Linked DNA regions of Nothobranchius furzeri. The protein of the gene in region 2 purifies or fractionates together with the protein of the main gene of each other region. This does not show direct contact. Links are inferred from orthologs where the notes say so. Each region holds a gene or a part of one and is shown on either strand. Other genes may lie near its edges.

The links. The genes of interacting proteins can lie anywhere in the genome.
Region 1: the proteins of shc1 (region 2) and AP-2 complex subunit mu-A purify together in Homo sapiens (affinity purification with mass spectrometry; 3 studies listed by BioGRID and IntAct, with this or other methods). This does not show direct contact. The link is inferred for Nothobranchius furzeri from reciprocal best matches to the Homo sapiens genes SHC1 and AP2M1.

Annotation. Positions count from the first base shown.
Region 1 is NC_091751.1:56,899,113-56,903,592, reverse strand, and holds part of AP-2 complex subunit mu-A, read right to left. Parts: intron 2,597-4,480; coding exon 2,331-2,596; intron 2,130-2,330; coding exon 2,047-2,129; intron 1,626-2,046; coding exon 1,490-1,625; intron 1,179-1,489; coding exon 1,034-1,178; intron 510-1,033; coding exon 390-509; intron 205-389; coding exon 69-204; intron 1-68.
Region 2 is NC_091745.1:78,656,646-78,662,426, reverse strand, and holds the start of shc1 (SHC-transforming protein 1), read right to left. Parts: upstream 3,794-5,781; 5' UTR 3,576-3,793; coding exon 2,979-3,575; intron 1-2,978. UniProt on the Homo sapiens protein: Signaling adapter that couples activated growth factor receptors to signaling pathways. Participates in a signaling cascade initiated by activated KIT and KITLG/SCF.

The DNA.
Region 1 (4,480 bases), on a different chromosome or scaffold from region 2:
CCAGATATTTACCAGTGAAGTCAAAACTTAAAGAATTTCATCAAAAATGTAAAAATGTGTTTGCTGACCTCAATTTTCTGAGCCAGCAGCGAAGGTTTGAAGTTGGACTTGATGACCACTTTAACCTCCAGTTTGGTGCGACCCACCTCCCTGACCAGAGGAATAACTCGGAACGGCAGGATGATGTCCTTAGTGGTGCGATATCTGAAAAATACATACATTTAAAAAGTAAATTAATAAAAATAAATGGGGGGGGGGGGGGGAATTATCAATCCACCAAAATTTTGAATGAGTGGAAAAATAAAAAAATAAATAAAAACCCAGCAGGATCTATCAGAGCAGACATTCATGGATGCTTTAGGCTCTAATAATCTACTACCATTACTGACCTCATGAGCTCATACTCTCCATCAGGAGGGATGAAGCTGATGCTGCGCTCAGAATCAAACTTACTGAGACGCACACACTGGTGGAAAGTGCAGTCATCAATGGCTATGGACTGCTTCCCACTGAAGAGGACAGAAGATGCATCAGACACACCAACTAACTTGTTACTAGTCTGGATTTTAACTATCCTTTTCCAATCTACAGATAAAATCTACTCTCTGGATATCCACCAGTATACTTAAGTACAAAGACATGGCTGCTAGAAGACAACATTTGAACCTGGATTAAATTATTACTACAAAACTACAGTAAATGATGATGGGTAAAGAGTGAACTAGGACGGTTAGGGATGATGAAACAGTTACTGGGCAGAACACAGGAGGAGAATGAAGCGGTGGAGGGAGAGGAACCTTGTTGCTATCGTACCTTCCTCCCCCTAAATCACTGTGGTACAGCACAAAGTAAAGAAAGGATAAAAGACAGAGAGCCATCCAAAAGGAGAGCAAACAAAAGGACAAAAGAATTTCTTAGTCGGAGCTCAAGGACAGAACTATTTAGACAAGAAAAGCAAAGTCATAATTTATGTCCCTCCTTATGAAAGCACGTTTGACCAAAGCGCCTGCCTCCTCACTCACGCATCACTCACCTTTTCCCTGCATCGTCGGACGCTCCTCCCTTGCCCTGCTTGTCGATGACGATCTTGTCGTTCATGCCGAATTTGCACTCCGGCATTCCGCTCAGGTAGCTCTTCATCACAACACGGCCCGACACGTGGGCGCTCAGGACCTGGCCTGGATGGAAGGAGTGAGAGGATCAACATCTGGACACCGCTGGGACAGGTTCCACCATATTTAGACAGCGTTTCTGCACAATAGGACTTTTTAATTCAGGTCTAAAACTGTGGAAATACTAAAATTATTCTACAGTACCATCTCTGTTTAAAGCTGCAGAAGTAAACACGATCAAAAAGTCTTCAACTAGTTTTAGTCGACCTTCATGGCAAAACTTGATAGCAAGTCATTTAGACGTCTCTGAATGTCAACATTTCCTCGGATCTTTTTATGTTAGCAGTCAGGGACGTCTTTAGAGGACATAAACAGACCTTGAGGTGACATGAGCAGATTAACACTTTCCAGTACATCCAGGAAGAGCTCATTGCGGCGATACTTGATGCCCTCACGACGCCAGCCGATCTGGCCCGTCACCTGGCTGGTGATCTGAGACTGCTCCTCTTTTGTCTGAGAAACAGGAGCAGAAACTGGATCAGGAACAAAGAGCAAAACTTCCACACAAGGATGATGATGATCAGAGGATGACAGAGAGTGGAAACACATGAAAACACGACTTTTTACAAAACTTTCAACATTACCTGGTGCTGAATGGTCCAAAAACCGCAGACGAGGGAAACAATGACACACACACACACACACACACACACAAACAAACACACATTTAATATTCATACAAATTAACCACATGTAAAGTTTACTAGAATCAGATACAAAAATAAACATTTCCACCACCAGATTGTCTTTAAACTATTCATCGCTTCAGGTTAGAGTGAATTTAGTTCATCTGAACACCACTTTTCTAGGTTATCTTCTACAAAAACATCAAACTGAAAGCTCTACATCAGTCGGGGGCAAACACTGTACTTACTTGTCCCTTAATGCCTTGCTGGGTGATGAAGGTCTTCAGGGCTCCGGTCTCTGAGTTCTGGGGGTAGCCAAAGTCCAGGATCTCTGAATAAACAAACACCAGTAGATAGCGGTTAGCGATAAAAGACTAGTGTAGAGAAAACTAGAACATGAAGTACACGGAGTAGCCGGTGCTGACTGACTAACAGAACATTAGGCTTTTTTTCTACACCCAGACATGTGTAAGTCCAGCAGTCCTACAAAATGTTTATTATATGACTAATAGACTCCAGGATCGTCTCCTACCATCCAGCAGCTCGTAGATGAGCACAAAGTTGTTCTTGATGTTCTCCTCGCTGATTTTGCCAAAGTAGGCAGTCATGACGTCACACATCTTGTAAAGGAACTCAAACACCATGGCAGCGTTGACATTCTGCTTGGTCACAGCTGCCAACCATATGTTTGAGCGCTTGACATGGAAGAAGCTGGTGCGGGCGATGTTGGTCACCGGCGACCGGACCTGCTGCCGGGCGTGAATCACGTTCACGCGGAACGCGTCCACGGCATTCCGCCTGCAACGACGAGCAGGGGTGAGACAGAAAGAAACATTTAGGTTGGACTTTAAAGCCAATCATATGCTTGTCAACATTAGAGCGGATTATTTTACGATCTCTGAAATAAAAAAAGGCTGCAGAGCGGGGCTAATATAAAGTTTAACATTAAAAAGGAAATAACTCCCCCGCTCCTCACTAACATGCCCTTGTTTTTATTTCTCAAGGAGGCAAATATCAAAATCCAAGCAGCAAAAGCGGGACGTTCTGGGCTGGTGCATTTAGAGTGTTTGGTGTAAACTGTGATAGTCTTCACAGAGAGAGAAAATAAAAACTTATCATTCCCTAGATTTGGAGGAGTCATAGGAAAGAAAACATGTTTATATCATGTACTTTAATCACAAACTCTCCAAATGTCATCTTTATTTAGATTTGGAAAAAACTATTTTGTAGCAAAAATTGGGGCTCAGTGCAAGGATGGCTCTGACGAGGGTCTGAGATAAACCAACAAATGCACCACAGATTAAAACTGTTGATCGATGACCTGATTACCTCCTGTGTATGAAAACGTTTTCAAAAGGCCACCTTTACAAGTAAAACCTCAAACTATACCAAAGATTTCCGAGAGAAAATGGAATTATCAGATCCCATGCTCAGACTCCATGCTGGGATACCAGAACAGCTGATTTAGCAACAATATTTCCTGCTGACATTAACTGAAAATAAATTCTTAGATCTGAGTTAATCTGCTGCATTTCAGTACAAAGCCATTTATTTACTGCTGTAAGGACTCATGCTTACAGGAACTGCTGGGTATTTGACCAAGGCATGCGGTTTAAGGTTCATGGGGTGACTGATCTGAGGCCATGAGAAAGGGGGAGAGGGGGTCATGCTTTAAACGCTGCAGCAGCTCTTACCTATTCCTACATGGGCCAAGATGAAACAGATGGGAGAGGTGATAGAGATAGGAGAAAAGGGATGAGGTAAACAGAAAGGAGAGACAAAAATGTACAATTGACATTTTTGTGCATTATGTAGACAGAGTGAGTAACGTGGTGTTTATTATTAGGGTGCTATTTTCACAATTAGGTACAGGAGGGAAAGGGCAAACAGCTTCAGACTGATAAAAACATGCTAGTTAATTTACACACAATTACAGAGGCATGAGGAATTTAATGCAGCGGTCAAGGAGCAAACCTAAAACATCTGGTTTGTGTTACACTGCTGCTGCAGCCAGGGGGACGAATACCTACGAAAACTACTGAAGCAACATCAATAAGCTATGAAATTCATGGATTCACACAACTATGCTTTTTCCAGCATAATGCAATGAAAATAAAATGAGCGGGTGTTTTAATTTTCTTTTCTTTTTTGGGTTCAGTGGAATTTTGTACAACACACAGTGGTGAAAGCACACACACGAGCAGATGTTTATTCTGGGAAAGCAAGGTGGAAATTCTACTTAGATCATATCCATAACACGTTGCACAAGAGCAGTGCAGACCTTACATTTGCCCTAACACAGCAATGCCTTTTTGTAAAATGAATGAAATTAAAAAAAAGTGAGTGGCTACATTTTTCCATCTATTGCTGCTCAGCACTGGTTGTGATGACTCAGCTCCGTTTTTAAACCACATTTCAGAATAAGTATCCAGCATGGGTTTCATTACATGTTTTAACCTTTCATAATAAAATTTTTAATGCAGGAGTTCAAGTCTTTCCTTTGAGGACCCCATAGCCCATGTCCAAGACAAGCCAGGACCCCAACCCCAACATGCATTACACATTAATGTGATCATTTACAAACTTTTATATGGAGTTCTGATTATACTGTAGGGTGTGTTACCATGATTTTCTAAATGTAATTTTTTTTTTTTTACAAATAAAATCTTGCCAACCTCAGCT
Region 2 (5,781 bases):
ACATATCCACATCGCTTGATCAGAAAAAATATGTTCTGGGAATTAGAGCCCTGCACTGAAGCCCTAGGCCCTCGGGTCGGCCCGGCCCGACGGCCCGAGGGCCGGGCTTCGGGCCAACGACTGTGTAATTACCTCGGACACGGGCCGGGCCGGGCGCCTTTTATTTTTAATCAAAATCATTAAAAAAATTAAAACACTTAAACGCAGCAGTAGAGCCCTGTGCGGGACTGTTTTCTTCACCCCGCTCCCACTGAATTTCTGACCATTACAGCCTGCAACCGCAACGTGTGTGTTACACTCCCGCCCTCACCTGCAGCGTGCATGTCTACTCCTGCCCGCAACCGCAAAACTCGGAGAAATTATTACCTCACAATAAAAGAGATGTATTGAGTTTGCGTCCTCAACATGACATTTTATAGGTTATCCGCTTTCACCGCAGCGCTGCGCTCCGTTTCAATCAGGCTGTACAGCAGGATTTCCCCTCTTAGCGATATTTTATCTAACTCTGATTGCTTCATGCTATAGATCGTTGGAAAGCTGCTTTGATGTACTTTTAGGAACCGTTGGAATTATTTGAATCTGATCAGCCATTCAAAAGTTATAAAACGGAGCATTTTGGATGACAAACTCAGCACGTCTCTGAATCTGTGTTGTGGTTTGTTGCGCTCAAGACAGGGAATCCCGGTGGCTACCATAATGTATTGTATGTGCACGAAAAGCCCCATTTTTAATCTTTTCAGCACTTTTGGAATTTTAATGATATCTTGAACTAGAGCAGGGATCGGCAACCCGCAGCTCTTCCATCCATCTGATGCGGCTCTCTGTGCTTGTAAAATAATGAATGGATATTTAAATAAAATGCTTTATATTTTACTGCATTAATTTTATATCTGTAAGTCAATTCTATGTGAAGATTGTCTGCGTAAACCTGAACAGGTCCAACCCAGTCTTACTGTGAGACCGTGTTGGGTCACGCTTGTGCGTAATCATATGCGCTCATGAGCTGAAGAGGATGTGAGATTCTGGGATTCTCCTCAGACGGCTCCTGGATGTGTCGCACATTGGAGACAGGAACAAGCGCTATTCAGCCAAAGTTTCATAATCAGGGAACATTTTCTAAGTGACAAGTCTCTCTGAGAGACAGGGTTTGGAAAACACTCGCTTCAGTGGAAGTAAGCTTCCCGCATGCGCTTCTGCGACGCTCGGATCCTGCACGTCTTTTAACACATTGGTCAGGATTGACGCACTTTGTTTTCATTTAGTTGGTTAAAAAAAAGTCGGGCTTGGGCTCGGGCCGGGCCAGAGAATCCTGAAAACCTTTTTGGGCCGGGTCGGGCTGGGGCTCCACCCCCTCGGGCCGGGCCGGACACGGGCTCAGATTTTAGGCCCGTGCAGGGCTCTACTGGGAATTTTTATTGATTTGAAGAAAGCCTTTGATACAGTCGATCACAAAATACTTTTATCAAAAATGGAGAAGTGTGGTATAAGGGAGACAGCTCTCAATTGGCTAAAAAGTTATTTGAGTAACAGAGCTCAGTATGTGCAGTTGGGCTATCACAAGTCTAGCTGTCTCGAAGTTCACTGTGGAGTTCCGCAAGGGTCGGTACTTGGCCCAAAGTTATTTCTGTTATATATAAATGATATTTACACAACTTCAAAATTATTTAAATTTATTATGTTTGCTGATGATACAAATATTTTGTGTTCAGCAGAAGATATACAGCAACTTATACTAAAGGTCCAGAATGAATTGAGTGAGCTTAAGAATTGGTTTGATAAAAACAAACTGTCGTTAAATGTCAGCAAAACAAAGTTGATGTTATTTGGAAATAAAAGAAGTAGTAAAGAAATCTATTTGACTGTTAATGAAATAGCCATTGAAAGAGTGTATGAAATTAAGTTTTTGGGGATATTGATTGATCATAAGCTCTGTTGGAAGCCATACATACAATATGTGTGTTCTAAATTAGCCAGAAGCATTGGAATAATAAATAAAACAAGATATTCTCTACCACAGAAAGCACTACACACACTTTATTGTACTATGATTCTACCATACTTATCATATTGTGTCGAAGTATGGGGCAATACTTATAAATCTAATTTATTAAAGATTTGTGTTCTCCAAAAAAGAGTGGTAAGGATAATTATAAATTCTGGATATAGAGATCATACAACTCCATTATTCTACAATTTAAGATTACTCAAATTTTTTGACTTAATTCAATTTAAAACTGTCCTTGTACCGTATAGGGCCATGATGGGTGTACTGCCGTGTAATTTGCAAAGGTTGTTTAAAACTCATGAAGAGGGTTATGAATTGAGAGGCGTTAAAAACTTCATTTTTCCATTATACCGAACAACTATGAAAAGTATGTGTGTATCTGTATGTGGTATCAAACTGTGGAACAAACTTGATGTGACTTTAAAATTATGTAAAAACATTAGATCATTTAAAATGTTGTATAAACAACTCATAATTGACTCATACGTAAATAGCAAGTGATAAAAATGGTAATTGGCTTCAAATGGAATATTTTGTTTTTGTTGTTTATTGGTTTTGTTTTCTTTTTTCTGTAGATTCATGTGAACAATTGTTTTGTAACTGTCTTTTTATGTAGCAACTAGCAAGGTGAAGATAGAACGACCTGCATAAAGAATTTTTTTTTTCTTTCAAATTTGTTAATGTGAGCAAATGTGATTTATTAACTGAATTGGGGCTGGACTAGATAAGCTTTTGCTTCTTCCAGTTCCCTCTCAAATGGTTTTATGTTATTGTATGTTTTGTATTGTTTCATTCAACAGCATATGTTTATCGTATTCCTCATTTAAAAAAAAAAAAATTTTTTTTTGTATGCACCAGGAATATGGGGGAGTGCATATGCAATTTCATGTTTTCGATGGTTTGAGATAAATAAATAAATAAAAAATAATAATAAAAATACAGGCTGGACAGTTGAAGTGTGCCACTCACTCACCCGAACAGTATAGGAAACTCCCGTGGTGCTGATCACGTTGTCAGAATGCAGCCAGCCACGGGTGGGCTTGTTGACAAAGGAGCCATGGCGCGTCCACTCGTCTCCTCCCAGCTGCCCTCCTTCCACCCGTGCCCTCCTGGACGCTCCTCCGAGCCGGTTCATGTCCTGCAGAGGAGGTCGGCGAGGGGGAGAGGGAGCAGTTAGTGTGGGAATGGGTTGATGAAGAGTAGGGGAGGAGCTAGAGTTGCTCCTATCATCTCCAGATGACTCAACAGGTGCCTGGGACTGCTGAGACCTGTTTGAGAACCTGGGCACTGGGAGAAGAGTGCCAGTGACCCCGAGACGAAGGGATCTCATACTGGGGAAGAAGGAGCAGAGGGTGGTGGGGCTGTTCTCAGCTGGGCGCGGGGAGGTGGGGGGCAAAATGGCAGTGAGAGACGAGGAGGAGAAGGAAGAAGGCAAACCAGGGGAGGGAGTCAGAGGGGTGGCGGGGCTGGATGGAGGGAACGGCGACGGAATGGAGTTGGTCTCATCTGTTGAGCTCAGCGACTCACTCCGAATGTGGGTGTACTTGGTTTTCTGCATGAGCTCCATCATGTATTATTTATAGGTCCTCTTAGGCTGCAGAGCTTCAAGCCAAGTCTTTTTGTCTCACGACTCAAAGTTTTTCTCTGGAAGGACACTCAAGTATCTGTCTGTGTAGGAGCTGCGTCCATCTGTCCGCCGCTCAGGCAGCCCGCACCAAACCGCTTCACAACTGGCTTTATCCACACTGAGAGCAGGAGGAGAGGAGGTGCTGCGGAAAGGTGGGGCCTCCTCAGCAGCGGTGGGGAGCAGATGAAAAAAGTGTTGTAGAGCACCAGAACAGCTCATGTTGTCATCAGTTTCTTTTGGTGTTTTTTGCTTTTGTTCGCCGAGTTCCCCTGAATGGACGAAAACACGTTCTCAGCTCTCCGTAGAGCGATGGTCTTCAGCCACGATGCTAAACGATTTCTCGTCCCAACTTAATCGTCTCCGAGTGCCGGACGACTATTCAGCTGTCGCCAGCACCACGACGAACCAACACAAGTGATTGTCTCTGAATGCTCCTTGTGCGTGTGTGTGTGTGTGTGTGTGTGTGTGTGTGTGTGTGTTACTGCACAAAAAGGTGTGTACATCAGTTTGTGACGCGTCTACATGGCAGTGTAAACCGAGTGTGTGTGCGTGTGTGTAGCAGCTCCCCTTTGGCAGCTCTATCACGCTTGACATAGGCCTGTAAAATTCCTATTAGCAGCCAACAAGGGGATTGCAGAAGGGGCTGCACACGCTAACACAGCAGCAACACATAAAACACAACCTCGGCTGGTCGATAATACAGCGAACACCTGCAGAGCCACGGAAGAAGAGAGAGGAGGCTCTCAAACTCTGCAGTCGTGCAGTCGCTTCAACTTTTCACGACTATTCTTAAATCTGGCTCCCCTTTCTACTCCCTCTCCCCCTTCGTCCAGATGCTTTCATGTCCTCTCTGAATGGCCCTTGCTCTCTCCCTCCCAACGTCTCCTTCTTCTCTCCTCTTCCAGATCACTTCTGGTGAAGACTCCCTTCCCTTCTCTGAGCTCTTCCCTCCCTTCTCTCTTTCTCCTCTCTTATCCTGGAAGTCCTCTCTCTTCCTCCACACGATGTACTCTGCCAGCCTCTGCTTCTCCAACGCCTCCGCCCTCTCCCGTGCCACCACTTCCTCTCTCCTCTTCCAAACGATCTCTCGGTCCCCCTCTCCCCCTCCCTCGATTGCTCGCCCGTTCTCCAGGCTGCCTTGTTTAACAGTCCCACACTTGTATGCTAAATACTGAGCCCTGTCGTTGCGCCTCTTTACGTTAAGGACCGCGGATGGCTAGAGGCTAGACATGTTGGCTTTAGACGCCGATATAAAACCAAAAGAAAGTGAAAAGTTAGTAATTAAGACTGGGCTTAGAGCTGAGCCCGTTCCTGACTGAGGTTCCTGAAATGGCCTGCCTTGGTTCGTGTGTTCTGTAGAACTGGCCACCTTGGTCACGGTGTGTTTTGTTGCTGGAGCACCATTTGATCGTGGTAAAGTTGAGTCTGAGATGTCTGTCTGGTACAGCGAGACACACTGCAGTAGCACAGTGGTGATGTAACACGGCAGAATGTAGGTCATAGGATGACGATGACTACCGGTGGGCCTGTTGAGACGATAACAAGCCCTGATTGGTCAGGCTTGGACCCCCAACTTAGGGTTCCCTGAATGGAGACCCACTGGTGTTGTAAATGAACCCGCTGGGTTAAGACTGCACTCAGCTCCTGACTCGGTACTAGCATGGACACAGATTATAGTTGTTTACCTGAGAGAACAGTATTGACACCGATATGAACGAATCGCCGTGCTATAATCCAGAACAGCGTCCCTATTTTTCTAAGGCTTATCAAGCAAGTTAAGCCCACAAGCATCTCATATTCTGCATAGTCCAATCTAAAGTACAGTCTGTTTTATTAATAGTCTCCAAAGTGACCTCAGTAGGAGGCAAGGCCACACCTACAACCCTCAGCCAGCCGGCTGGCCTACACCTTAGTGCTGTAGAGGCATTATTCAAACGTACAACACACCAACCTTTACAATCACCAACAAATGACACACTTATTATCCAGACAAGTCAAATTAAGGTTGTGAGTATGGCACTGATGTCTCAGTAATGCCAACACTTCCTGTTGTCATTTCAGAAATGAGCCACAGCGCTCGAGGCTGTAGAAGGCGCTGGACGCATGGCAGAAGGAACAGTCGCCTACATTAGTCTAGCACCACAGAGGG